2 linked regions of the Canis lupus familiaris genome follow. The main gene of each other region encodes a partner of the protein of the gene in region 2 in a complex. Links are inferred from orthologs where the notes say so. Each region holds a gene or a part of one and is shown on either strand. Other genes may lie near its edges.

What was found.
Region 1: the proteins of MED23 (region 2) and MED24 are in contact, whole or in part, in a cryo-EM structure (PDB 7EMF), measured with the Homo sapiens proteins. The link is inferred for Canis lupus familiaris from reciprocal best matches to the Homo sapiens genes MED23 and MED24. Residues at the interface, in NP_004821.2 of Homo sapiens: Asn150, Thr151, Val152, Ser153, Ser154, Glu193, Gly194, Leu196, Pro197, Trp199, Leu201, Gly202, Asn203, Ser206, Asp207, Asp210, Arg213, Tyr258, Asp259, Lys260, Phe263, Ser1133, Arg1139, Ser1176, Glu1180, Glu1182, Trp1183, Val1184, Tyr1186, Arg1189; in NP_055630.2 of Homo sapiens: Lys238, Thr239, Leu280, Leu283, Lys287, Val291, Glu295, Cys336, Glu339, Phe340, Lys343, Leu344, Thr345, Pro346, Leu347, Asp349, Lys350, Gln353, Lys384, Glu720, Lys721, Trp723, Thr756, Arg757, Lys758, Glu759, His760, Met802, Asp803, Pro804.

Annotation. Positions count from the first base shown.
Region 1 is NC_049230.1:22,467,675-22,471,197, reverse strand, and holds part of MED24 (mediator of RNA polymerase II transcription subunit 24), read right to left. Parts: intron 3,392-3,523; coding exon 3,305-3,391; intron 2,862-3,304; coding exon 2,750-2,861; intron 2,246-2,749; coding exon 2,103-2,245; intron 866-2,102; coding exon 828-865; intron 577-827; exon of another isoform or gene 473-576; intron 392-472; coding exon 309-391; intron 1-308. UniProt on the Homo sapiens protein: Component of the Mediator complex, a coactivator involved in the regulated transcription of nearly all RNA polymerase II-dependent genes.
Region 2 is NC_049233.1:365,046-368,568, reverse strand, and holds part of MED23 (mediator of RNA polymerase II transcription subunit 23), read right to left. Parts: intron 2,066-3,523; coding exon 1,941-2,065; intron 1,522-1,940; exon of another isoform or gene 1,375-1,521; intron 810-1,374; coding exon 604-809; intron 516-603; coding exon 335-515; intron 1-334. UniProt on the Homo sapiens protein: Required for transcriptional activation subsequent to the assembly of the pre-initiation complex. Component of the Mediator complex, a coactivator involved in the regulated transcription of nearly all RNA polymerase II-dependent genes.

The DNA.
Region 1 (3,523 bases), on a different chromosome or scaffold from region 2:
CAGTGCTCTGTGCCTCAGTTTCCTGCCCCACTGCTGCTTCTTTCCAGCCTGAAGAACTAAAGATGCACTGGTCTCAGGGAGAAAGACAGGGGCTATGCTGCCACCTAGTGGTGGGTGTGGGTGTGGCACTGAAGGATTCCGGAGTAACCAAAGGGGGCGTCTATGGGCCCAGGGGCACCTTCATTCTGCACCCAGCAGAACTAAGTAGCTTGCGGGGTGGGGAGGGGCGGCCAAGTTACTGGTCATTTCCTTCCCCCTCTCCCTGCCCACTTGGTGCCCCTAATCTTGACTGCTCTCCTCTCACTCACCTCTGAACCATAGGTCTGGGCCACGTGGCACAACATGAGGAAGGAGATGTCGAAGAGCAAGGCTCGAACTGAGGCTGCTTTGGCTACGGGGAACAAAAAGCCTGACTCCACAGCCTTGAGCAGGGCCCAGAACCCTCGTCTGGATCGGAAGGGGGGGGTCAGGATTTGCCTCAAGGAAGGTCAGTGATCAAGTGGCTCCTTCAAAGCTCTGAGGCTCAGAATCCTTTTCTTGAGTCTCAATTGGAACATCATCCCTTCCTTGGAATCCAAGACTCCTGATACCCTCCTCCTTCCCAGCACCCAACCAAATCATAAAGAGGGAGGGCAATAGACAGAGGTGGTTTTGGAAGAATTCTTTGCCCAGCATTCCCCTTTCAAGGCTCCCCAAAAGCTTCAGTCAGTCATTGCTCAGGGGAGAAAAGAGCCTCCCCAGGAGGAGCAACGGGCCCTCTGTCCTCCCCTGTTCTCTCCCCCGACCCTTCCACAGTGCTGGGTCCGGGGGGCACAGAGCTGACTTACCGAGTTCTTCATTGCCATGTGTCGTGAATTCATTCAAACTGGGGGAGGAACAGAGATAGGTCACAGCAAGCAGGGCAAGGGTTCAGGGGGCTACGCCTGTCCAGAAAGGCAGTCACTAAAGTCTGAATTAAGGGTGAAACTTAAAATGAACACTACCACTACAAAAAGAACTCTTTGTTTTTAAAAGATTTCCAAGGCAGCATGCCTGGCTGGATTGATCATTAGAGCATGTAACTCTTGATCTCAGGGCTTTGAGTTTGAGTTCCAAAACAGATGTAGAGATCATTTAAAAATAAAAATCTTGGGATCCCTGGGTGGCGCAGCGGTTTGGCGCCTGCCTTTGGCCCAGGGCGCGATCCTGGAGATCCAGGATCGAATCCCACGTCAGGCTCCCGGTGCATGGAGCCTGCTTCTCCCTCTGCCTGTGTCTCTGCCTCTCTCTCTCTCACTGTGTGCCTATCATGAATAAATAAAAATTAAAAAAAAATAAAAAAATAAAAAAAATAAAAATCTTGGGCAGCCCGGTGGCTCAGCGGTTTAGCGCCGTCTTCAGCTCAGGGCGTGATCCTGGAGACCCAGGATCGAGTCCCATGTTGGGGTCCCTGCATGGAGCCTGCTTCTCCCTCTGCCTATGTCTCTGCCTCTCTCTCTGTGTGTGTTTCTCATGAATAAATAAATCTTTAAAAATAAAAAAAATAATAAAAATAAATAAAAATCTTGGGGCACCTGGGTGGTTCAATGGTTGAGCATCTGCCTTGAGCGCAGGTCATGATCCCATGGTCCCAGGATCGAGCCCCGCATTGGGCTACCCCCTCAACAGGAAGCCTGCTTCTCCCTCTACCTGCTTATGCAGGTGCACGCATGCTCTGTGTCAAACAAAATCTTTAAAAATAAAAATCTTAAGAAAAAAAAAATCCAAGGCCCAGAGAACAGCTCACCGGATGGAACAAAGTTCTATGTATCAAATTCCATGTCAACCAAAGAGTCAACAGTGTTTGAGAGCCCCTTAGTAACAACTGGGCGCACCCGAATCCCTTCACTCCACCATTTAGTGCCTCTCATCTCATCAAACACCTCTACTTCATGCTCAGCAGCAGAGAAAAGAGCACTTGACATCCAGAGACCTGGCCCTTCGCTCAGTGTCTTCAACTGGGATGCTCTGGCTTGCCCTAGGCATCTCCAGGGAGACCTAGACCCTGGGGTCTTGCCCCTACTCTGCTACCTCTTCCTTTGGACACGCCTTCCCAACTCGGTTAGGGGCTCACCATTCCTTACTTGATGAATTTCCGGGCAAAGGATTTAAGCTTCCCAGTGGCAGCAGCGGCGGCCAGCAGAAGATCCAGACTCTTCCCAGAGAGCATGTGGCCCAGGACTCCTAGCAGCCCCTCTGGGGACTTGGAGTGGTCTGCATCCATCGTCTAGGGACACAACAGGAAATCAAGTCCTGAAGAAAACCCAAAGACCTCCCACGACCACCAGATACAGCCTAATCAACCAGAGCTTCCTGCTCTGCACGTCTCCATCAAGTGGCATACCACAGCCTGAAATCCAACCTATATCTTTCTGACTCCAATCTGGAAAATCACTCCCCAAATCCATCTGCTCTCTGATCCATTCCTCTCAACTAAACTGGGATCATGGCGGTAGGGGTGTGGGTGTGTGTGTGTGTGAGAGTCCCCACTGCTTCTGCAGGAGCAGGTGGAAGCATCTACCACAGTGCCTATCTTCCAAGCAGTGCCCAACAAATGCTAGTTTTCATTGGCAGCTTCCCTGCCTTGCCTGCTTCTCTACTTCCAAAGTAACTACATATAAAAGCCAGAAGACAAAGAGGTCTACAGCCTCAATTTCCTTTATCTGGAAGCAGAGGCAAAAGTGGAAAACAGGAAGAGATGACCCTGGAGACAAGGGAAGGGCATACTCACCTTGAGGATATTTGTGACAGTGGGTTCTGCCCGGAGGATCAGCCCAGGATTGGGCTGGATGTTGGCATTTTCTCCTGATTTCAGCTGGGGTGCATGTTCCCGGTCTGCTGCGCTGTGGCCATAAGCCATTGGCCAAGAGAAGGGAAAAGAAAGAAGTTCCTGATGTGCTCCCTGGTCCAGCGCCAGAAGCAGAGGCCCAGAGAAGGTGGGGAGCATAGAAAAACCTCTGCGGTTGGGGTGATGTTCATGCATGCATGTCCACTGGTGTGACTGCTTCAGTTTGTCACTGATCATTACCTCAACTCTGAAAGTTCACTTGAGATTAAAGGAAGATTTAGGATTTTTATTGTGTTCACAGAGGGTGAGAATTCAAGTGCAGCACCCAAGGGTGCAGAAGCCTAGTGCACAGAAACCCGTGTCTGCCACTCCTGGTAAGCCTAGGCATGGCCCCAGGCACCTGCACGGGAAGGGGAGAGGCACCCAGCAGTCCAGCCTGGACAGGAGGAAAGGGGGGCAAGTGGCACGTCAGCCAGGCCGGGGGGAACTCATGCTTACCGCTTGGCCAGAAGGTTGGTCACACTGGCTTCGGACAGAAGCCCCTGCTTGCTACATTCTTGGAGGAGGAATTTTGTACAGTCACAGCTGTGAGGGAAAAAGATCATGAGGGGCCTGGGCACACAGCAGGGATGACTGAGGGATGGGGACAGTAGGCCTCTGCCTCGTTTCCTCCCTCCTTCAGGATGGCAGATGGGCTCTGGCACCCAGCAACTACGG
Region 2 (3,523 bases):
ACTTTTTACCAGTTCCTGCCTCTAATGAGAGCCTTTGGGAATCAACTCAGGGCCTAATTGCTTGTACTTTTTACAGCATCACAAGGCCAGATCATGTCTGCCTTATTTACTTCTATATTTTCTGTGCATAGAACACAGCAGATATTTAATACACACTTGCTGAATGAGACAATGGGAAATCTCTAGTTCCTTAGGGAAGTGATAACAATGCTTGATTATAGTATAATTGCCTTAAATCCTTATAGATCATCAGCACAAGATCCATCAATCACACACCATGATCTAAAAGAGAGTGAAGTAGCTTAGAAACTTGTTCTTATAAGCATATTCTTACCAAGCAGAGAATCAATCTGTCCAATGTAACAATGTTATACTTCCATACCATGTCATTAAGAATTTCAATGCATTTGTTGAGTTGCTGACCTCCAGCTGATGTAGAGAACTCATATACTAAGAAATCTGCAAATGTTCTCACATGGGCTACCAAGGCCCTGGCTCCAATTCTTTCTAATACTCTGGAAAGCAGAGAGTAAAAACCAAGTTATATTGCTATGTGGTATAACAGCTTGTTAAATAGAATGCAGATCTAGGTTTCTGGCTTACCTATAGCCAATCTGATTAATATGATCTGTTTCCAAGAGCATTTTCCAGAGAAGACAAAGGAAGAGCGGAGGAGAGCCTTGCATAGAGAAGTGGGTAATGATGTCATTTTCATTGGTCATTGACTTCCACTTCCTATATTCCTCCTCCACATTTTTTTTCAGATTAAAACGGCTTTCCTGAGGTACATTATTCTGCTTGAAGAATGCCTAAAAAAAAAAGATCAAAAGTTTACTTTTATACTAAAATGAAGAGCAATGGCCAGAGTCAAGAAATCAGTTCTGGACTTGATTCTGACACTAATAAACTCTATGTGACCTCAGGTAATTAAGTAATCAAGGTGTGAATTTCTTTTTTTTTTTTTTTTTTTTTCAAGGTGTGAATTTCTATAATGGGAAAATATACAGGCTTGACTAGATAATCTCTAAGATTCCTTTCTTAGATTTCCTAAATAGATATTCCAAGCAAGCCTGAATTCAAAGCTTCCTCAAACATCTGTTGATATTTCTGTTTGTCTTTGGGAAAAAGAAAAAAAAAAAAAAAGAAAGAAATTATGCGCCTTTTGGTTAAAGATTTTAGTATCTCTAAAAGGAAAATCCATTATACTAAACCAATGGGTCTCAGACCTCCTGTTTTGGAAGTTCAGCAGTCTGTATCTGATCAAGCCCTCTAGATAATTCTACCAAGTTTGAGAGTTACTTGCCCTAGCCCTGTTGGAAGTTCTATAAAGCAGATATTCATTATGCTTAAACTTTTCTCTGAAAAGTAGAGGACAGCTTTGCGCAGTGGCAGTATTGCAGCCAATGAGGTCTATCCGAGGCACGATTATTGCTAATTGAAAAGTAGAGGACAGATGAGGTTTTCCTTTTTCCATAGTATAAAAGCCAAGTTTGTAGTTTTTCTCTCTGTATGATTAAAAAAAAAATTCAGTCAAGTGCAACAATGTGTATTCTATGAAGCTCTGTTAAGTTGTATCTCTCCCCATTTCAGTTCTAAAAAAGAGAAAGAATTTTTCAGGTAATGTGTTAATTCTCACAACATTCTAAAATTGTTAACTAATAACATGAAACCATAATTAAATTTTTAGGAACGTATCCAGGCCTAGAGTAAGTCAGGGAACAACTCAAGAGACTTTGGAATAGTACAGGTTTTTAAAAAAAGAAACAGAAGCTAATTTCCTTTGGATATCGCTAAAACCAGCTTTCTAGAATTAATGGGAAGAAATGAATTAATGGGAAATTAATGGGAAGAAATGAATTAATGGGAAAAAATGATTTCATATATACTAAATGGAAGAATGATTTTGTATATATTCAATATGTAATTCAAGACCAAATTACCTGTAGTGGGCCTGGAAAACAGCTAAGAGTGTGTGATGCCCAATTATGAGGAGTAAAACTCATGATGGTCTGAAGTATGTCTTTACACCAAGTTCCCTGAATTGAATCAGAGCCTGTAAAAAAATCTAAACATAAACAAACAGAGGTAATCCAGATATAAATGATCATACCCATAATTCATAAATGGTATCATAGAAAAAGTTATGTACACGCATTGAATTCCATGGCAATACACTCACTGCTTAACTAGTTATATTCAGTTTAGACCTAAATTTTCTTAGTTTATGAATGATTTGAATGATTACATTAGTAAACATGAACACAATTAGTGAAAAGAAGACATTTCAATCTATTTTTTTTTTTTAAGTAGGCTCCATGCTCAGCATGCCTCGGGCCTTGAACTCATGATCCTAAGATCAAGACCTGAGCTGAGATCAAGAGTTGGACATTTAACAGACTCTCAGGAGCCTCTGTAATCTTTTTTTTTTTTTTTTTAAGGTTACAGAGCACCAATGATCTAATAGTGACATAGGCCCACCATGATCGCTCATGTAGTTCAGTCTGACAATGAGGTATCAACACTTTATTGAGCCAAGGAAACAGAATTGAGAAAATATATCTTTTCCAGTGGTTGAAATAGCTATAGACTATAACTCTCTAAATCAAGAAGGTTAATTTATTGGGACACCTGGGTTGCTCAGCGGTTGAGTGTCTGCCTTTGGCTTGGGTCGTGATCCCGGGGTCCTGGGATAGAGTCCTGCATCGGGTTCCCTGCAAAGGAGCCTGCTTCTCCCTCTGCTTGTGTCTGCTTCTCTTTGTGTCTCTCATGAATAAATAAATACATAAATAAATCTTAAAAAAAGGGTTAATTTATGTAAAATAAGACAGTTTACACAGATGTATCTGAGGTTGCAAATTCAGTAACTATTTCTTTAAAACAGCAGTTCTCAAAGTGTGGTCTGTGGACTCTGTGGGTCCCCAATATCCTTCCAAGGATTTGATGAGGTCAAAACTATTAAAATAGTAATACTAAGATAGTACTAAACTTTTTACTGTGTTCATATGTGTACCAATGGGGCAAAGGTAATGGTAGGGAAAACTGCTGGCCCTCAGAACAAGTCAAACAGTGGCACCAGACTATACTAATAGCCACTGTAATCTTCACTATACTCTCACTAGGCAGCAGGGCGGGGTGGGAGGGGGCCCAGGTTGGGAGAAAATGCAGGTTTTACTCTAGAATATCCCTGAAGTAGTGAAAAGGACTGTATCTTAGCCCTTAAATACATCTAATTTTGTTGTGATAAAAATGGAAGTATGCAGTGTCCTAGCTACACACTGAAGTATGATGGGCATCTAAAGGAAAAGTACTTGTGCAATTGTCTGAATATCGAATTAAATTAGCTCTTTTTTTTAAATGGAATTCCATTTTTACTTGAAAGAACATCTGACAGAAAAACTACAGTTATTCAGACTTGGGCAATAAGCAGCATTTTCTTGAACAAAGGGAACCTATTACTTCAAGGAAAACAAATGACCACATCTTTTGCCAATGATAAAATTTGACTTTTCAAATGAAAAATCAA